Linked DNA regions of Lytechinus pictus. The main gene of each other region encodes a partner of the protein of the gene in region 3 in a complex. Links are inferred from orthologs where the notes say so. Each region holds a gene or a part of one and is shown on either strand. Other genes may lie near its edges.

Evidence for each region.
Region 1: CCR4-NOT transcription complex subunit 10-like (region 3) and CCR4-NOT transcription complex subunit 2-like share a complex: the UniProt entries of both Homo sapiens proteins name them as parts of the CCR4-NOT complex. The link is inferred for Lytechinus pictus from reciprocal best matches to the Homo sapiens genes CNOT10 and CNOT2.
Region 2: CCR4-NOT transcription complex subunit 10-like (region 3) and CCR4-NOT transcription complex subunit 9 share a complex: the UniProt entries of both Homo sapiens proteins name them as parts of the CCR4-NOT complex. The link is inferred for Lytechinus pictus from reciprocal best matches to the Homo sapiens genes CNOT10 and CNOT9.

The regions. Positions count from the first base shown.
Region 1 is NC_087263.1:5,245,386-5,252,705, forward strand, and holds the start of CCR4-NOT transcription complex subunit 2-like, read right to left. Parts: upstream 3,012-7,320; 5' UTR 2,981-3,011; coding exon 2,962-2,980; intron 1-2,961. UniProt on the Homo sapiens protein: Component of the CCR4-NOT complex which is one of the major cellular mRNA deadenylases and is linked to various cellular processes including bulk mRNA degradation, miRNA-mediated repression, translational repression during translational initiation and general transcription regulation.
Region 2 is NC_087257.1:20,916,225-20,923,885, forward strand, and holds the start of CCR4-NOT transcription complex subunit 9, read right to left. Parts: upstream 3,016-7,661; 5' UTR 2,972-3,015; exon of another isoform or gene 2,592-2,971; 5' UTR 2,414-2,591; coding exon 2,390-2,413; intron 1-2,389. UniProt on the Homo sapiens protein: Component of the CCR4-NOT complex which is one of the major cellular mRNA deadenylases and is linked to various cellular processes including bulk mRNA degradation, miRNA-mediated repression, translational repression during translational initiation and general transcription regulation.
Region 3 is NC_087246.1:48,079,044-48,086,804, reverse strand, and holds the start of CCR4-NOT transcription complex subunit 10-like, read left to right. Parts: upstream 1-4,738; 5' UTR 4,739-4,872; exon of another isoform or gene 4,873-5,302; intron 5,303-7,761. UniProt on the Homo sapiens protein: Component of the CCR4-NOT complex which is one of the major cellular mRNA deadenylases and is linked to various cellular processes including bulk mRNA degradation, miRNA-mediated repression, translational repression during translational initiation and general transcription regulation.

The DNA.
Region 1 (7,320 bases), on a different chromosome or scaffold from region 3:
GGGTCAGTCTGTTTAGGCAAAAGGAATCCCAATCAGACCTTCATTTTTTTAGGAGCGCAATCGCGCCGGCGCTCCTAAATAAAATAAGGAGAACAAAATATCGCGCTCCTTAAAAAAAAAAAAGGTTGCTGAAATTTCACATTTTACATCTTTATATTCATAAAATAGGCATAGATTCTATTTTCCATAATTCCTTAAAATTATTTTGATTTAGTTGGAAATTACCCAAAAAATGAAGAATATTCACCTCTTTCCTGACTCTGATTTATGATGTTAAACTCGGTAAATATTGTAGTCCCATGTGTAGATTTTCATGGTTTTGACCAAGTGTATAACAATCAACGATCGTTTTCAGTTAAAGGTCAAGTCCACCTCAGAAAAATGTTAATTATGCACAACTCAGTGACAAGCAAATGAGACAGTCGATGATGTCCCTCACTCACTATTTCTTTTGTTTGTTATTGTTAGAATTATACAATATTTCATTTTTTACAGATTTGACAATAAGGACCAACTTGACTGAATCATATAATATTAAACAATGCTAATTCCACATGTTTAGGGAGGAATTAATTGTTGTTTTACTTGACAATGAGAAGAAAATTAGATTTTCATATAATAAAATACAAAAGAAATAGTGAGTGGATGACGTCATCAGTCTCCTTATTTGCATACCGAACAGGATGTGCATATACTGTTTTGTGAAATTAAGCGAAACTTTAAAATGTCATAACTTTCTTATTTTAAATCCGATTTTGATGAAATTTTCAGTGTTATACTTGTTGGCTTACAAGCATTCATGCTTTCTTAGCAATCAGGTAAAAAATCACCACCACCACCTATTTTTCTCTTTTCATTCAAATAAACTTTTTGTTTGGGTGGACTTGTCCTTTAATGTTGCAACACCACGGAAGTCTACATGTGGGACTACAATATTTACCGATTGTAACATCGTCAATCCGAGTCAATAAAGAGCTGAATATTCTTCACTTTCAACTAAATCAAAATAATTTCAAGGAATTATGGAAAACAGATGGCCATTTCATGGATTTAAAGATGTAAAATCCGAAATTTCAGCAATTTTTTGTTAGGTTTTTTTTTTAAGGAGCGCGATATTTTGTAAACCCAGGCCTAGTTTCACCACAGTTTAATTAATAGCTACACAGCTATTGCATTTACAATTTTAAAAAAAATCTGCAATTTAGCATGCATGTATTGTATTAAATTGAGCTCCTATAGGAGAGCGATTCTGAGGAGCTCAACTGAGCTCCTCGAAAAAATAAGGAGAGCGATTTATTGGGCTCCATGAATTTATAAACGTGAAGGACTGCCCAATCATCATATTTTTCATATATTCTAATCATTGGTTTTTCTATGATCTCAGGTTTAAAGCCATGAAATTTTGTGCTCGGTGATTTTGACGACCGGCAAGGTCCCCACGGCTACCTGTACAGTGATTCCACCACTCATCGACCACCTCTTTTGAAACTGATCACCTTTGGCACTTGCGCGCATTTAGATTAAATTGCATACAAACGCTACGCACAGGAAACTAGGCGCAGCATCCATAGTAATGATAAAAACCGATTTTACGGAAAAAAAGAGGGATAAAATTTTAAAAAGCTGTAGATCTCCAGGACTAGCATGACTAGCAGAGGAAGGAGAAGGTGACATCGAACTGATTCGCAAGTCAATATGTTTTGCCACCGTGACAAACTGACAAGAATCGGCTGTAAAATTAACATTAGTGTATAGCAGCTGGTCAGTCCTAAAGAAGGATGGAAATTTGAAATCTTCATGTTCGTTGGTCACTGACATCTACGGCCATGACGGCTACGTGAATAGAATCTCAGTCAGTAGAGGCGCACGGCCAATATTGGAGACTGTCTCCAATGTGGGAGATTATCTCCAATATCAGAGACTTTTGTAAAGAATTTGGGTATCCAATTTCAGAGACAGTCTCCAGTTTTGGAGACCAATTTCCTTTGTTTACATTTGCTGCAAAAGGATTACCTTGGCGGCAAATAAAAATGTGATAAGCAGATTCCTCATGAAAAATTACCCCTTTTCACCGTCTACTTTTGTTTTGATAAGGATTTTTGTTGTCAATCACACACAAAACAAATGGGCTTCTGACCTCAGTGAGACAAAATTTTGGGTGGAAAAAATCATGCTTTTGTTGGTGTTGTTTCTTTTGTCCTTTTGCAAAGCAAGTCTCCAATGTGGGAGATTGTCTCCCCTATTGGGAGAGAGTCTCCCATATTGGCCGTGCACCTCTACTGTCAGTCAGAGCAAAGCAATCTATCTATTTTTTATTTCTAAAAAAAAGGAATTTTGATCCGCTCCATTTTCTGCACATGACTTGAGATGGAAACTAGCTTAAACCAATTAGATCTAGAGTCTAAAATCTTTGTGATTAAGATTCTTAGAAGAAAATTAGGTGGTCGATAAGGGGTACGTCCAACCATAAATATTTGACAACTCCGACAAACTTTAAAAAGTTAAAATTGCAGTCGAAAGTCAACTCAAATTCAAACAAGTCGTTCATAAGTCAACGTGATTGCTGATTTTGGATCCAGATCTACAACTCTAATGCCCCAACTTCCAGTCATATGGAATTCAACTTTGAAAAATAACATCTACCTGAGATCTGTAGGTTGATTAGAAACATTTAAATCGATATTTAATCTGTAAAGACAGAGTTCAATACAGGCACGCACGTACGCATTTACTTTTTACTCACACAAATTGCAACGTATGGGACTACATTTTAGAGAATTGCATTGTAAAGAACCTACGCGACACATCAAAATCAGAACAAAATAACGAACCCATCCAATAATAATATCACACACAAGAGAGCTCAACAATAAAATTATTATTCTTAGAATCATAAAATATCACAAACACTGAATTCTAAAGCACTAAGTTTGAGAAATATCGTTTTAAACTTCAACTTACTGAGATTAAAGATTGTCATTGATATTGTACGTAATAATGGCTGCCAGTTGTAATGCGTTTAGCGCCATCATGTGGCGAGATTTGCCCAAACAAAAGCCAACATACGTGACGGTTTCCGTATTGTTTTTTAATTTATATATCATTTCATCATACTCATTAACATCATCATCATCATCACCACCACCATCATCATCATCATCATTAGCACATCATCATCACCATCATTATCACCATCATCATCTTCATCACCATCATCATCATTATCACCATCATCATCATCCTCATCATCACCATCATCATCATTATCACATCATCATCACCATCATCATCATAATCACCATCATCATCATCATCATCATCATCATCACCATCATCATCATCATCATCATTATGATTTCTTGCTTCCCTGGTATTCTTTAAAAAAAAAACAGGCCCAGATAATAATGTAGACCTACAATCATATTTTAAATTTGTTTTTCCAAATAATGATATTTCAATTGTTTGTTTATGAGCTGTGTTGATCACCGACTTTAAACAATCTTTATTGTTATTATTACTAAGATTATTATTACTGTTGTTGTTGTTATTATTATCATTATTTATTATCATTATCATCATCATTATTATCACAATTATCATCATCATCATCATTTATTATTTTCACAATAAAAATGATATCAATATCAAAATAATCATCTTCATCATCACAGCATCACCATCATCTTTTTCTTCTTCCTCCTCCTCCTTCTTTGTCAATAAATTTCATATCATCATTTTTCAATCATTAATATCAGTATAACATCATTTATGGACATAATTATGACAGACTTCACTAGGTGATTTCATACCAAATAAGTACAATTTTATTATTTTCTCTGCAATACAAATTGAATAATACCTCAGAGAAACTCTTCAAATATCTAGATTTCAATGAAAAATATATGATGAATATCCTAAATGCATGTTTGAATGTAAATAATAATCAAGATAGAGCCCAAAAACTTTTTAGCAATGCCCAGAAATTATCGTCAGTGTCCTCCAAGAAAGGACTTATGGGTAATTTAACAATGTTTTTTATTTCAAACATTAAAGAGTACGTCGAAGGCTATCCAATGATGCAAAAATTATTTCATAATTTCACGTAAAACTCAAAATATCAGTAAATTAAAAGGACCTAAAGGTGAAATAATCATAAAACTTACCCCTACTTTGGGAAATTGATGTTATATCAAATTCATTCAAAAAATAAGAAAGATATCACATGCTGTGCTTGTCATAACATGTTGATTTTTTTTAATTAAAAAAAATCAAAGAAGACTTCTAATATTTTCCTATTAAAAATTTATCAAAGCAACCATACTTTCATTTTGCTAAAATAATAAAATACTCTTACTTCTGCATCAATTTACTTCGAAGGGAGGTACATGCGGGGGTACATGGATGAAAAAAAATAATAAAACAACATTCTAAGTTAAAATGAATGTTAGAAAATGTGAGAGAATTAAGGTCTAGAACATCACTTTATGTGCTCAAATATATAACTGCACAGGATTGGCAAGAAACTAATACATACATATACCACAAATGAAACAGACAAATATGTTTGACATTAACAATAAAATACCAAAACAATGTTTTTCTTACAGAACTTTCCAAATAAACATGCAGTATATACATGTATATATGTTTTACAAAATGACAGTATATGTTTACATTACTTGCTGATAGAAAGATCAGGAATCCTGTTTACAAATAATAATCAATTGCAACTTACAAAAAGTATCAGTGACTGACAAATTCTCATAAACAAATTCCATTATCAAGAAGGGTCAAGTACTGATAGTATACAAATTATTTAGCTAATCACTCGACTTTTGGAAGATTCATGTGGGGTGGAGTAAAGAAAAACAGAGGGAGGGGTCTCATTTCAAAAGGGAAGGGTAATATCTTAAAGAAGTCACAATTCCAGCTTGGAAACTATTTATTAAAGCACAGTGCAATTTTGAATGAAATCTTGGGAAGAAAATATGCTTGGCTGCCATGCCGGATCATAAACGCTTCTACAAATAATACAATTTAGTTTATCCTATTTTTATCAATCTCATTTAGTATTGGGCAATCATGAACATAACTCGGTGGGGTAGGGTCAGAGGCCCATAATGAAGATAAATAAGAAACCAATGATTCTCTGGGGGCAGGGGATCATATCAGGGGCGGATCCAGGATTTTCCAAAAGGGGGGGGGGAAATTTTTTGGAGGAAAATTTTGACAAGCCCCCACCCCCCAAAAAAAAAAAATGGTTTTCAACCACAAATTAAGGATATTTTGTACCTGAAAAAATTTGACAAGCAAAAAGAAAAAAAAAAGGTCTTCACTTTCAAAAGGGGGGGGGGGGGGCACATCTCCGCTTCAATGGCATTTTTACATTACAAATTTTAATTTTTCTTCTCAAATGGGGGGCACGTGCCCCCCCCCCTGGATCCACGCCTGGACCATATCTTCCTGATAAAATCTTCTCTGACCAATTTTCAAGTCAATATTGAAAACTGCAAATATTTAGATCCACATGTGCACACATGTTGTATGAAGAGGATACCTATGATATATTATATGTATATATTATATGTATAAATAATATATTCTATGCATAACTTATCACAAATTGTTGGCTGGGGTCTAGAAAAAATTTGTATCTTGAGACAACACATGTTTCCTTCTCCATTAAAAACAAATTTGTAGCAGAACCAACATAATTTGAACTTGAAATGGGTTATTTTCAGACGAGAGATGAGCAAAATGCTGCACTTGGTCGCTTTCTTTCGCACACGACACGACCGACATCCCAACGTTGCTTCCAAGTAGCCATGTTTTACTGCAACAAATAACAAGTTATTTTATGCATTGATAATTCGCCAGCAAAATGCTAAAAATGCTACTCAAGATTTTACTGCTTCTGTTAGAGGGCCCATTTAGATGCTTTCATAGTCCATTCATCTGCAGTGCTTTTTGGCTTTCATCACTTTTATACTCATTAGATTTACAGTGATATGTATCCCTGCCCCATATGTAAGCAGCCACCCCAAGACCAACAAGTTGCAGGGAAGGCTCTGTATCAAATAGCCAAAATAGTAATCTAGTCTTCAAAAGAAAAAATTAGCAAACTTGCTTATCTGAAAGGGTAGTTCTTCTTCTTTTTACTACCAAAATTCGAAGTTGTAAAGTGGAATATAAAAAAAACAAGATACATGATCTTTTTTTTAACCTCTTTTGTGTACTGCTTGGAATTTTAACCGAGAATTCACAGTATGCACATTGGTTTGACTTTTTAAAAATCTGAGCTAGAAGGTCACACTTGTCACCTGTGTCTGTGATATGTTACAAAAATGAAGCCCAGAAAAAATTGCGTTCGAAAATAATTATTTAGTGCTTCAAAAATTGAAATATAAAGTGACCGAAAACACCATCTTAATTTCATCCCATACACTTATGTGTACCATTTAGGCGTCTATAAGACGCCTATTTACAAAATCGGGTTAATTGCCTTGTAGTTTTAGCTTTTCATTCTCAATAATGGTTGTTTTCAGGGTTTATTAGTTCTAATACATGCACTTGTACACATGTTTCATCTTGGTTAGAGAATTTTTTAAATCGGCTGCTTTAAGATCAAGTTTAACTTCTTTTGTATTCAAACAAGCACTTGTGAGGGTCATTGTTGATCAATTTTAACAAATTATTTATCATTTTAAAGTTTAGGATATGTTCTTTCAAGCTAATTAAAAAGAAATCCCAAGATTGATTTGGGGCAACTAATTGTTGGTTTTGAGTGGCTGGTCACAAGTTACCTTCTGGCTTTCATTACCTTTATACTCATTTGATTTGCAGTGATACAGATATCATGTACTTATTCATATAATACACTGGGTTTCATTATGTATAAATTTATTGAGTATAATTTCATACTCATTGCAGTGATATCCTTGTGTATCATATTATATACTGGCTTTCATTGTTTTTATACTCGTCTGATTTGCAGTGATATATATCATCGGAAATCATATAATATACTGGCTTTCATTACTTTTATACTCATACTTGCAGTGATATATATCCCCGGGTATATATCCTTGTTAATCATCATCATCATCATTATCATCAGTGTATGGAAGAAGAAGGCAAGCCTGTCGAGACTTCCGGTCGTTCATATAATATATGGTCTTATATACTCAATATACTTGCAGTGATATATATATATATATATATATATATCCTTGTTAACCATATCATTGACTGGGTTTCATTACTTTTAAACCCAATTGCTTTGCAGTGATATATGTCCCTGTGATACATATATTGGCTTTC
Region 2 (7,661 bases), on a different chromosome or scaffold from region 3:
TCCCCGGTATTAAGGTAAGGGAGAAAAATAATTATTACGATTGTTTAATTAAATTGTAGGAATGTGAAAAATTGCAACATCAGCGCAACAAGAGTTAACAAAAACATGGTGCAATATAAATGCTGTGGATCATCATTTAAGAGGTGTTAAAAATTGGGAGGCATGATGGATCCCTTATGAGCTTGGATGCTGCCCTTGCCAAAAATTAGCAGAGATTTGTTCTTATATACTAATACTGCATAAAGTATATACATTTTCTAATTTCAATATCAATTATTAGGCATGTTCATATAAAAATATTTGCATATCAAACACCACACCCATCATCATTATCAGTAGAGGCGCTGGTCCAAAAATTGGGATTGTCCCAGAAAGCAAGAATATCCTCATAAACCAAGACAAATCATGTCTTGATAAATTGAGATTGTCTTTGTTTATAAGGACAGTTTTTTTGTCACTTACCCATGCGGGACATAGACGGTAATGACAGGAATGGAAAGTGCTAGAATTAGATTCAGTGCCCTCAATTCCCCCCAGTTTACTGTCTATTTTTCACAACTAACCGTCTTCCAGTAATCTTGTTACCTGATATGTTTACATTGACTAGCGCACTTGATTGGGGTTGGCACTTGATTGGGGTTGGCACTTGACAGGTGAATGAATTTTCTTGTGAGGAGAAACAACAAGGAACAAGGTTATATCCATCATAACCTTGTTCCACTCATTCAATGAACAAGGTTATGATATAACCTTGTTCTCAGTTATGTCTCCATGTGTGGCAAAATAAGGGTGGCAATGTTTGGCTTATTTTCTTTGGGACAAATGCTTGATTTTTTTACACTGACAGTTTCCATAACACCTATTTGTCATACAATTTGGCCCTTAAGTAAATTTGATTCTTTAAATTATTTTTTTCTTAATTAGAAATAGAGATAAAAAATGAAAATTTTCTTGCCATATTACTTTCCACCAATAGAGGGCGTACACAAAAATATGCCCAAAATTCAAGTTTTTGAGCGCTCTAGTGAATACAAAAATTATTTCCAAGTTACTAATGAAAAATAAATTGCAACTGTATGGAAATTAGTAATTTTGGTCACAAAAGTGATATTTTAATGATTTTTGAAAGTGTGTGGTCTGTACAGCATTGGCATGCCATAGTCCTTCCTGTAGATTCCCCACAGGCAGGGTGGTTGCAGTGAACAAGTGCCTTGTTCATTGAATGAGTGCATGGACTCAACGGCCGTATGTTTATGTATTAAGTTCGGATAAACCAGGGAGTGGGAGTTGCATGACAGCCGAAGTAAGTAATACTATGGTCACATTTGTTCTACGGCGGCCGTACGGCGAGTCGAATACAGCCGTTTTATTAAATTTGATTCAAACCACCTATATGTAGTTTGACAAAAAAATGTTAAAACGGCTGTTTTCAACTCGCCGTACGGCCGCCGTAGAACAAATGTGACCATGGTATCACTGTTTGATTTTTTTCCTTTTTAGTTTATTTTTTCCCATTTTGGTGCTTTTCAGGCCAAAACGACATAATAATCTTTATTTTGGTCCATTTCTTTTTATATATTTTTATGAAATAAAAGACAAAAATCGAGGAGTCCCTTCGAGGGGATTTTGCATTGTTAATCCCCTAATAATGGCGGCTGCACGATCGCGAGCCGTTTGTGTACGAGAATTTTTTTTTTTTTAATGTTAAAAACTCCTCGTCCTCGAGATGGCTGCCAGCTGTCTAAGACTAATGGAACTCTTGCCAATTTTTTTTTGGGGGGCTGTCTTTGTAAACTTCTATCTTAAATATAGTTTTTATCATGAAAAATTAGCTTGGGCTTGGCCTTGGCACAATTCAAATGAATGTATGTTTTTCTTCAAGTTCATCATGCTTTGTTTTTAACTTATTTTTGTTTTATTTTTAACTTCACTCATCAGACATTCAGCATGTCGTTTTTGGCCTAATCGTGAAATTTGTCACCTCTCTTGTCGTGTGCGTCGGTGTGTGTGCGATCGTTGTGTACAAAGTCAATGGGAGTGGAAAGATGTCACCACTAACGTTAGTCACCACCGCTGACGAAATAAACGGCAATGAATGGACTGGTGACATAAACCACGATAATGCCTCGTTTTTTTACTTTGTTTTACACAACGCTCAATTAAGAGATTAATCTTCAATCAATCAGATACAAAATTATCTTATGAAAGCATTGACCATCGTTCGCTAGAAACTAATATGACCCCTACATAATTTTCAGTAGGTGGGACCGAGGCCGAACAGTTTTGTTGGTATTTGAAATGTGTGAAGATCCTTCCCGAAAATTGGGCACTTTTATACATTCTACAACAAAGAAAAATAATCTAAATTGATCTTAAATAGTAATCTTACCGGTTGCATCCCAAGACCATGCATTATACAAGGTATTATCGAAAGTTCAGATGAAAATTGGACGTCTCCCCACTCCTATTTCACTGCTGGCTAGCGACCGACGGATTTCCATTCTTATCCGTTCTCTGATTGGTCAGTTAAGACAGTGCGGTGTCTGTGTGTTCCGTGTACTGTACTGTGTGTATGTGTGATGCGAAGCGTGCTGTGCATGTGTCATAGAGATATATACTAACATGCCGGTCAATTGACCATATATGTTTCAGTGTATAATAAAAATGGAAACATGCTGGTCAACATGCTATTGTAAATATATTGCATTATTTCGAGCATATTGTACACCGTTGTATACTGCACATTTGTGGTGCAGATATAAAAAGAGCAGTTTAAGGAAACTTGTGGTAGCCTATAACGATGCTATGAGAATGCTTCTTCAATTACCTAGGCACTCTAGTGCTAGTAGAATGTTTGCTGACGCTAATGTACCTTCATGTCAAGCCGTTCTTAGAAACCTAACTTTTAAGTTTATTGAGAGAATTGACATTTCTGAAAATGCTATTGTAAATATATTGGTTAACCCCTTACAGAGCTGTACGAGGTACACCTCGGAACTGTGGAAGCGTTGGTATGACAATTTGTTAGCAGAGTCATAAGTAACCCAGAGAGCTCCCGTCCGCGCAGCGGGCGGGAGCCCAGAAGCTCACAGTGTATTCTACCATTGCCACCGGACAAGGGTGATTTATGGTCTAAATATTTCTCCAAATGAATTGTGAAAACAAAAAGTGTACAATTACCACGATTATATGGATGAAGGTCTAGCGAGTGGCAGATTCCTGACATCTGAGCACAGTCTGGAACCTCAAAAAAACGAAAAGTTCTCTGCTTCTACCCCGTCTCGATCGGCCATTTTTGTTAAAAATCGTAACAAAACGGCCGATCGAGACTGGGTAGAAGGAGAGAACTTTTGGTTTTTTTGAGGTTCCAGACTGTGCTCAGATGTCAGGAATCTGCCACTCGCTAGACCTTCATCCATATAATCGTGGTAATTGTACACTTTTTGTTTTCACAATTCATTTGGAGAAATATTTAGACCATAAATCACCCTTGTTCGGTGGCAATGGTAGAATACACTGTGAGCTTCTGGGCTCCCGCCCGCTGCGCGGGCGGGAGCTCTCTGGGTTAAGTCATAAGTAATTAGTGGTCTACTAATATTAGTCTGTATCTTTGTCTTTTTCGAGACAAGTTACTCATTTTGCCATATGTAAATATTTCCATTGTACTGTTGTACTATTCACTTACTGCTTAACCACTTGTTTTAGGTATTCATTGTTTGTTCCTAGTTATTAGTGTGATTTGTTTTACTCCTTTTTGACTGTTTATACTTTATTTGTTCTTTGTTTATTCCAGTATTATCTTTGTATGTTTGTCTTGATGTATATTACATGTATGTTATTTGTTGATATGGACCTCTGCATATGCGGCTGTGTCTGGATTAAAGCCTTGAATTGAATTGAATTGAATTGAATTGAATTGGCTATATGTGTTTCAGTGTATAATGAAAATGGAAACATGCCGGTCAATTGGCTATGTGTTTCAGTGTATAATGAAAATGGAAACATGCCGGTCAATGACTATATGTTTCAGTGTATAATGAAAATGGAAACATGCCGGTCAATTGGCTATATGTTTCAGTGTATAATGAAAATGGAAACATGCCGGTCAATTGGCTATGTGTTTCAGTGTATAATGAAAATGGAAACACATTACGTCTTACCCCCGTTTGGGAACGGACCGCAGTTCGGATTGCAAACTGCGGTATTTCACCCCATTTTGCGTTTGAAAATCTAAAACATCATTTCCAAGCCCTGGGGGTCGTTTCATAAAGCTGTTCGTAAGTTAAGAGCGACTTTAACAACGACTGGTGATCATCGCCAATTGTACCATTTACCGCAAGACATGATCACCAGTCGCTCTTAACTTACGAACAGCTTTATGAAACACCCGCCTGATCAACCCCGCTTGGCCAGGTAATCCCCAAAGGCCAGATTATGAGCGTTGAGCCAAGGACGAAATGATAACAACAGATGTGCTATTACGTAAGTCTTCTCTGCCTGTAGAAGGACCTTCGGAATTAAATTATTGTATTCGATATTTAATCACGTTTTCAAAGGCATACTGTATTCAGAAATTCAATGCTAGCCCATTTTCAATTTCGAACAAAGAAAATCAACCTCGAAATAAGGAAAGTAAGTGAATAAAAAATGGCGACATGTTTTCCCGGACCGCACTCGGGCTGTTGTGTTATCTTCGGACCGAGGTCAAGAAACAGGTGTTTTGATACTTACATTGCATGCCTGGGGCAGTAGGGTTTTCGTACTTGGAGAAGAGGGGTATCCCAGGACCAAAATCCAATTGAAACCAGTTGGATTTCCAACTGGTTTCAATTGGTTTCAATTGGTTTTAACTGGTTTCAATTGGTTTTAACTGGAATTTAACAATTTCCAGTTGAAACCAATTGAAACCAGTTGGGCAACTGGAAATCCTAACTGGAACCAGTTGGGTAACTGGAAATGACTTCCAATTGGAAATGATTTCTAACTGGAACCAGTTGAGTAACTGGAAATCCCAACTGGAACCAGTTGGGCAACTGGAAATCCTAACTGGAACCAGTTGGGTAACTGGAAATCCTAACTTGAACCATGCAGTTGTGTAACTGGAAATCCTAACTGGTACCAATTGGGTAACTGGAGATGACTTCTAACTGGAAAGATGGGTAACTGGAAATGAATTCTAATTGGAACCAGTTGGGTAACTGGAAATAAAACTGGAACCAGTTGGGTAACTGGAAATGATTTCCAATTGGTTTCCAATTGGAAATTTTCCAGTTACCCAACTGGATCCAATTGAAACCAGTTAATTTGCATATTATCTGCCAGTGTGCACAGATTAATGTTTTATGAGATTCATCATCATTAACAATGTATCTATTTAATTCTTTTCAATTTCAAGTGCCACACTTTTTAAAGATAAGTATTTAGAATACTTAGCAGTGAAAACCATGTTCATAAATGTTATAGATTATAATTAAAACAGATTAAAGGATAATTAGTACCCCACTAACTGTTACCAAATTACATCAAATAAAAATACATATATTTGAAGATCTTCCGTACAATATATACATGTGAAAGTCTGTATTTTATCAATGCCCTTTACATTGGTATTAATAGACATATAATACTGCTTCTGTGTTGGCATATGAGCAATAGTTAGTGCAAATGCTAATTAATTTGTAACTAATCAAGTTCATTCCAATTAGTTCCAATTGGATCCAGTTGGAAACCAATTGGTTTCAACTGGTTCCAGTTGAAACCAGTTGCCTCCAATTGGTTTCAACTGGAACCAATTGAAACCAGTTGCCTCCAATTGGATTCAATTGGTTTTAATAGGGAAATTGGAACAACTGGAACCAATTGACACCAATTGCCAACTGGTTCCAGTTGCCCAATTGGTTTTAACTGGAACCAATTGGCAACTGGTTTTCAATTGGAACCAATTGGCAACTGGTTTTCAATTGGAACCAGTTGTTCCAATTTCCCTATTGAAACCAGTTGGCCAACTGGTTTCAATTGGTTTTGCCCTAATTGGTTTTAACTGGATTTTGGTCCTGGGTAGTGTTATCAAACGGAGCTCTTTCGTCATGACATGCCGGTCAATTGACCGGCATGTTTCCATTTTCATTTTACTGGTCAATTGACCGGCATGTTTCCATTTTCATTATATACATTGAAATATATGGTCAATTGACCGGCATGTTGCCATTTTTATTATACACTGAAACATATATGGTCAATTGACCGGCATGTTTCCATTTTCATTAAACACTAGAACATATGGTAAACTGACCGGCATGTTTCCATTTTCATATTATACTGATCAATAATGACCGGCAAGTTTCCATTTTTTATAATACTGTCCATTGACTGGCATGTTTCCATTTTTTATAATACTGCATGTCCATTGACTGGCATGTTTCCATTCATTACAGTGGACATTGTATAATGTAATGAAACGCAAGTGAAGACTCTTTAATAATGGGAGAATTAATAGACTGAGGAAAAAATAAAAGACCTTTTCTAAAACAAACAAATCACACAATTGGAATGTAGCATTTATCATTATAATTTTAAGCTTGGAAAGAGAGTCAGTTAAATTAAGAGCTGTAAGAAACTTCTATCCTTCACATGCACACACAGCCAGTGAACACATGTACAGCACGCTTCGCATCACACATACACACACGGAATACATAGACACCGCACTGTCTTAACTGACCAATCAGAGAACGGCTTAGAATGGAAATCCGTCGGTCGCTAGCCAGCAGTCCTATTTCGGTCTCCTATTTCTGGCAACTCACTCAAGTCCCGGGAATTGATCGAGAGAGGGCGGTTTCACTTTCAATCGAGACTCGACGTCGCTCGACTGTGCACTTCGCCGCCTCAGACGTACAGGGAGCAGTGCCACTCCCGGGTACCACTCACTCATGATAATCAATTCAGGCCTAACAGTCATCACCAACATCATCATCATCACCATCATCATCACTATCATCATCACCATCATCACCATCATCATCATCACCATCATCATCACCACCACCACACTGATGATCTTTATTTATCATTATCTTCATTTCATCATCATGTGGAGGTGCCGCGGCCGAGTGGTCTAAGGGGCCTAGCTATACATGGAGAGCCCAGGGTTCGATCCCAGGCCGCAGCACGTTTGCTCATGAGCAAGGCATTTAATTGACAATGCTCTTCATCCTGCATTCAAATAAATGGAAATGCTTTAATAATGCATTATTTGCAACTAGGTGTGCACTTGTTTACAAATCATTATCATCATCAAAGCAGTATCACATATATGAACAGATCTTCCAATCAAGAGAAAACAATCATCTTTTCTCGCAAGAACTTTTCCCTTACATATATGTTCTTTACAACAATGGTGTATAGTACCTTAGTGACGATTCATCAAAAAGTTCTCATTATCATGATCACCATCACCACCACAACCATCTTCATCAGCAGCATCATCACCATCACAACCATCAGCATTCCCACTACCACCAATACCATCGCCGTTGCCATCATCATCACTTTGTTGCTTTCATCATTAATATCATCTTAATTTCATTGCCATCATCATCATCACTTTCATCATTACTATCATCTTCATTTCATCACCATCATCATCATCATCTTTATCCTTA
Region 3 (7,761 bases):
TACATATCTCACCAATCGAATAAAGCGGGCTCGAAGCGCGATCTGAAAGTTTGTGATATTCCAACCTGAAAAGTGAAAACTAAACATCCTAAGCATTTTTTTTTTGGAACCAGGAACAGAATGAGTACCTTACTAAACAATAATTGATGCGAGCGCGAAGCGCAAGCCAAAAATGTTGTGATTTTCTAACCTAAAATGTATAATGTTTTACTTCAAAAAGGGTAATTCATTTTGAAAAAGGGCACATTTCATTTTGAAAAAGGGCATTTTCCATTTAGAAAAAAAGGCATATTTTTCCAACGGGGATTTTTTTTGAGGGGGGGGGGGGGGGAGTGCCCCCCTGCCGTTGGTTCCACCGCCCCTGATTAACTTGAAAAAGCAATATTTTTAGTGCCATCTTGAACGAGATTATGTATCCAATTATACATTCAATGCGAGCGCCAGGAGTGATAAAAACATAGACCCTAAGCAAATTATGTTTCATCAAATTATGGGGGGAAACGTCTTGTATTACATTCCCCCTCTATGTTTCTCTTTCTTTCTCCCTCTTTTCCCCTTTTCCCTCGTTTTTTGTGTCTGTCGATGGGAGGGGGGGGGGGCATGTGTCCCCCGCGCCCCGGGAATGCGAATGATGTTGCACACACACTTATAATCATTATGATTGAATTTTTTTTTCTGCTTAGTAATTTGCTATGAGAGTTAATATCTTTAGTTGTGAAATGAGCCAAAACAAAAATTGAGGGGACACACCTTTGATGCACTTCATGCAACATGCCGTGCGTGCAAACAATTCTTAAAAGTCGAGAGCGAGCGAAGTGAGCAAGCATTTTTCCTTTTTAGAATGAGAGTCTAATTTTGTGATAGATTTAGATATGTCATTCAGAAAATAACACATCCTTACCCCCTTTACCTTTCATTTACTTTTCCTTTTATGTTTTCCCCTCTTTTCTATTCATTCATTCATTATTAATTGATTGATTAATTAATCTATTAATTTATATATTCATTTACTTATTTATTTACTTATTCATATATTCAATTATTTATTTATTCCTTTATTTATTTTAATTCTTCTTTTTTTTTTTTTTTAAGGGGAGAAGTTATTGCCCCAAATCCATCACCCATATCTACGCCAGTGACTATCATACTATACCGGCATCGAACAATACTCGCCTTTAATTGAATTGATTGGTGATTAATCAGGCCTAATCTTGATTGAAAATGAACCAAAATACGGATCCTATTTTAAGATAAGAATTAATGAGTTCATATGGATACCCAAAAAATATCAATACACACATTTGCATATTTTTTTAAAAATCGTTGATTCATTCTTTACAATATTCACGATATTATTCTTAGAGAATATAAATTTAAATTGTTTAAAAGAATTATTCATTTCATTACATATTACAATGAAAAAAATACAATTTTTGAAAAGTATTTTTAGATACTAATGCTTTCATATCAGATGAAGATTAGTGTGCGCTCAATTTGCAACTTAATCTTTATAATTATGCTCTCGGGGAGAGAGTGGGAGAGAGAAAAAAAGAAAGGAATACAAGAGAAAATTGAAAAAATGATGAAATAATCATGTTTAGGAATGTATTTTTGAACAAATGAATTTTAATTTTGAACATTCATTTTTTTTAGTGTCGCTTGCTTTGTCCACTCGCGACTATTTTGAAATAGGCATCGAACGTGATGTTTTGTCCCCTCATTTTTGTCCGCTCATAATCCACTGCTCCATACACTTGTCATCACCACTATACCACAAAAGCCATTCACTTTTTCTTCTTTTCTCCTTCCTCTTTCTTCGTCTCTCTTTCCTTACAACCTGTCATAATTGTCATTTCTGAAGCACGTAATTACAATAATGGAAGCCATCATCTCTTGTTCTGTCTCGGCAAGCTTACTTAGTCAATCCAAAAACTGAGTTATAATTAGCATCGATGTTGCTATTAATACCTCTCCCGCTCGATAAAACCGAGAAAAGGACACTGTAAGTAGGTATATTAAGGGTGATATATAAAATTCGCCAAGTGAGGAAAATTCACATCGATCTATTGATGTGAGTCGGTGGGTTGAAAATTAAAAAGTTGATGACTTCAGGCTTGAATGCTTTTTTTGCTTGAAGGTTTGACAGCTATATGTATCATTTCATTTATATAATTTTCAACATTGAGTTGCATTTATCAAAGCCCCCTGTAAAATATGTTTTCTTTTTTTTGGTAAATAAGCCTACTGCCCATTATGTCTTGATATAACCCCTTTCTTGCTAACAAAATACACTTGATAATCATATTCGAAGCAAAACCATTTGAAGGGTAGATTTTTTTATAATGATGTTTTATTGTATTCTCTTAAATCAAAATAAACATTCACATTCCATAAGCAAGTTGTACAAACTATTTGAAACATGATTATAAATTACACAATAATCCATAACAAATATAATTATACAAATTATACATCACACTTCAAAGATACTAGAAATTAATACTAATGCGTTTCAGCAATTACAAAATGAAATATTAACAAGATGTATGAATGATAAGAGAGGGAAAAAAAAGATAAAAAGTGTTGTTCTACCTCCCAACCCCCCCCCCCCCCCCCGTACCCAGGTTAGGAGCACCCTCCCCTTTTTATGCCTATGTATAGTTGGATGTAGTTGGATGGCCCAATCGATTCACAGTCCAAGATATTTCATGGATCATTTTGGATATAAAAGAATCCCTATTTTTCGTTGTTAGAAGATGACCCCCCCCCCATTTACTGATTTCCTTATTTTTAATTACAGGGCTCTAGTACTCGGAAATTGTCTAAACCTATTCATTTAGATTTTCAAAAAAAAATCCACCGGCTAATAAGTGCATGCGCACGAGGTTCCTTATTTTTAATTTCAAAACACACACACACCCAAATCGCTCTCCTAATGAGCTTGGTCGTTTCGCTTGCTTGCTTGTATGTATTCCAGAAGATTTGAAAATTGAATGTATTAATCCGCCCCTTTCGAAAAAATCCTGTGTATGGCCATAAAAATAAATAATATTATTAATTCAATTTGAGCAAAATTCTTTTTCGCCTATATTATGAAATATGATGGAAATTTATGTTGATTTTACGATCGGTTTAACAAAGCATTCGGATTTCCTACAAGAGGGAGAGGGGGGGGGGGGGGTAAGGACCTTAAGATTCCCACCCCCCATCAGTGCGGTCAGCCAGTACCCCAACTCAATTATTGATTTTTGACTAATGATCTTTGCAGTAGTTTGTCCCTTTCCCCTTTTTATATCGCATTGGTTCTAAATAACATGCCTGCTCGATCGCAGTTTATCTTGAATGAAAAGTGGACAATTATGAAGTACGCCACCAACGTCTTAATGCAAAACATGATTCAGATCTTCAAATATTAGTCAACTTTGTATAGTGTTCTTTAATCTGATGCCGTTTTCAGTGTTTATATGAGTTTCATTTTATGTTTATTTTTTTTCAACAGGATAAGTTAAAGGATGAAATAATTGAAAATCTATATTTTCTTGTCTGTCAAGATTTAATTCCTATTAAAGGCCTATCCGTCGTGGAGCAATTCACTCTTATTTGAATAAAGTTACTCAATCGATGCCTCTTTAACCAGTCTATATATTTCCCCGAAAGAAAAAAGTCTAATGCATTTTTTAAAATAATATTCACATGAAGATCTTATATAGGTTCAAATTTTGCATGGACACTGTTTGTTAAAATTTGACCGACCAAACAGTCAGCTTCTGTTAACTTAGGAATGGCAAAACTGTTTACATTCCTCAACCTAGGAGGGGCGTATGCCCAATTCTAAAAAAATGTATTTCTTATGCTCTTCAAGTTATTAAGCCTAAAAGAAAAATGAGGGGGGGGGATGGATCCATTTTTATGAAGTTAAGATTCCATTTACATTTCATGAATAAAACTTTCAAAGCAGATATTTAGACATTTTGATTAATATGTGAATTACATTTTATTATGCCTATATCTGTCGCTCAGCATGTCAAAATTTATTTTCCAACTTAATGGATTGACTGTGGTGTTAAAAGCCTGTTATTTTAATCACATTTTTATTCAAGCCATGGATTTAAACATTTTTAACTCGATCGTTGATCATTATTATTGCTTTGATTTCTAAATGCATTTATGTCCAAATAGATAGATTCGTAAGTACTGTTAGATAGAAATAGATAGATTCGTACGCCTGTTTATGAAACTTTGACCCCCCCCCAAAAAAAAATGACAGCATGACACGATCGACTCTATTCCAAAGCTCGATCATGTTGCAAAGATTAAAATCAGTCAGATATTCAACAAATATATTTAAAAAAAATATTTATTTTATCCAAGAATAATATTAATATTTCAATGGGATGGGGGAGGGGTGGGGTCACCACGGCACCACGTACGCCCCCGCCCCCCCCCCCCCCCAACTACCAAAAAGTTAATTAACTTAGGGTCTACATAATATATTTCGATATGAATTTTGAACAAAACGCAATTGTGAGTTAGAATTTTCTGCAGAATACATTTTAAAAAACAAACCTCCCGCAAGCCTTTAACAGTCTAACACCTACAAATTGTAGAAAAAAAAATCAATGAATGGGTGCGGTACGAACATAACGCGGGAACCTCGAAACATGAACATATAACTGTGCGTGATGCAAGCAAAAACCAAAAACGTGTGCATTTGCAATTGTGCGCGTTCGTCGTACGTAAATCAATGAGAAAGGCCGAGCTAGCGAGTGATCTGAAGACTGAAAAGCGGAGACCGGAGTCTGGACAAAGATTGAGAATAATATATAAAAACTATTTGGAATTTCATAATTTTTATGTAAAATTTGCATAAAGGTAAGCCTGAATAAGAGAAGTAAGGTGTGGAAATCATCTTTATTGAGTTTGTTAGAATAATTTTATAAGTTGTAGTTAGAGGTATCAACTCTTAGATGAATAGCACGAATACGAACGGATGGGACTGTAGTAAATTTTCAGTCAACGTGATGATGAAATGAATCATTGATATTGAATGTTATTTAAAGTTACGGCTTAACTAAACTTTTCTGAAAGAAGTTCGGCAATGCCAGAAGTTCGACCTTATTCTGAAATAAGTCACCTCTCTTCTCGTGTGTGTGCGCTTGTATTTGTAATTGTAATGGGAGAGGAAAGGAGTCGCCGCCGCCGCTGATGAAAATTGAAATAAACGGCAGTGAATGGAGTGATGACTTAAACCAGGTCCAGATCCAGGATAATGTCAGAAGTTCTTTGATTGTTGCAAAAAAAGGTGGGCATTATCATAATATTGGGAACCACCGTTCACTTCGTACAGCAGCGCTAGCCTTATTTATAGCTGGCAGCTGTCTGTTTCGAGGAGTTTTTTTAACATTAAAAAAAAAAATTCTCCTTGTACACAGACGGCTCAGGCCCGCAAAGCGGGCCGGAGCCCAGAAGCTCACTGTGTATTTGCCCATACTCACGTGACTAGGGTAGATTGTGGTAAAAATATCTAGCAAAATAAATTGAGAAAACAGAAATTATGCACTTACCACGATTATATGGATGATGAAGGTCTATCGTGTGGCAGTATCCTGACATCGAGGCACAGACTGGAACCTCGAAAAAAACGAAAAGTTTGTCGCGGTAGCTATTCTTTCAGAATTCATAGCAAAATGGCCGATCGAGACCGGTACCGAGGGTGTAGGGCGCATGCGCGAATTTGACCAAGTCTATATGCGCTAGTGCTATAGCCTCGGTCTCGATCGGCTATTTTGTTTTGATTTTTGAAAGAAGGAGAGCTATCGTGACAGAACTTTTCGTTTTTTTGAGATTCCAGTCTGTGCCTCGATGTCAGGATACTGCCACACGATAGACCTTCATCCATATAATTGTGGTAAGTGCATAATTTCTGTTTTCACAATTTATTTTGCTAGATATTTTGACCACAATCTACCCTAGTCCCGTGAGTATGGGTAAATACACGGTGAGCTTCTGCCTCTGGGCTCCAGGTTAGTGATAGTGCAGCCGCCATAGTGCAAAATTCCCCAGACAGGGCTCATCGATTCTTCTCTTTATTTCAGAAAAATATATAAAAAGAATTGGACCAAAATAAAGATTATTATTTCGTTTTGGCCTGAAATGCTCCAAAACGGGGAAAAAACAGTGACTTACTTTGGCTGTCGGGCAACTCCCACTTCCCTGGTTTATCCGAACTTAATACATAAACATATGGCCATTGAGTCCCTGTACAGATCCTGTTAGAATTTCGGTCTCTGTAATCGGTGAGTGGAGCCAACGGAGTTCAGCGGAACAACCAATATCAGAGACCTGAGCTTTTGGTCTATGCTAGCCTTAAATAAATTAATGCAGTAACAGACTAGCGCACAGACACAGTGCCTAATCTTATTACATTAGTGCACAAATGTCATGAGTGCGGGATTCAATTCAATTCAATTTTATTCACATCTCTTTAAAAACATCAAAAGATCAAGTTTACAAATCAATACAAAATACAACATACATTATACATAACATAAAAGATATGGTAAAGTTGAAGGGAGGAGGATGTGGGGGATAAACAAAAGGCCATTGGCCTGTCAAGGTAAATCAAGGTACATACATTTTATTGGCATTTCTTGTGCAATATTTATTTATGTTGATGTTATATTCAAAGTATTCATTAAAATATTTTGGGAGCAATTGTTTAGAGTAAGAAAACATAAAAGATGCTAGTTGTAATTTATTTATATCATAAATATTCAGTATTTTCAATTTCTTAAATAAAGGTTGAGTATGTGCTAAATAATTGGCATTAGAAATAACCCTTATTGCACGTTTCTGTAATAAAAATAATTTCTGTAATGAATGAGATGAACAGCTGCCCCATACAATATTCGAAAACATGAGATGTGATGAAATCAAGCAATTGTATAATTTAATTAAAATTCTCAATGGTAAAATGTGTTTCAAACTATTAAAAACTCCTATGGATCTTGATATCTTTAAACGAGAATGAAACTCTTGGAGCAAGTTAGCTTTTGTGAAAGCAGAAAAATCAAAGAATAAGATCAACAAAAGTTTGAGTAAAATAGGACTAGCAATAGAAGAGTTATGAGCATTTGAATGTCGAGATCACTAATGCTATGGAGATCCTCCCATTGGCAATGCGACCAAGATCTATGATGTCACAGATGAACAACTCTCCCCTTTTGGACACTGAAAATATACCCCAAAACATCTCTTTTTGCTCATTCTAATCATATGACAAATGATTCATCAATGATATAATGTTGTGAAACCTCTGTACTTGTCCTCTCATAAAGAGAACACCTCACCTTGTGATAGACTCTATAAAAGTGAGAATATAAGTGAAATAAGCACTAAAGTAATGAGGGAGTTGTACGTGTGTGACATCACAGATCTTGGTCGCATTGCCAATGGGAGGATCTACATGGCATTAGTGATCTTGACATTAAAATGCTAATAACTTTCTTATTATTCATTCAATCTTCCTCAAACTTTCAACAATATGTTTCTAGGATTTTTCTCTTTGATATGGATTCAGCTGGTTTCAAGGGTTTCATTCTCCTTTAAAGCAATGTGATTTACATGTTCCTTCCAATTCAGGTTTTCGTCTATGATTACGCCAAGAAATTTAGTACTAGTTTCTCTCTTTATTAATACATCATTAAGTTTTATATTTATTTCACTATCTTGTATTCTGCAATTCCTACTTTTAAAGATCAT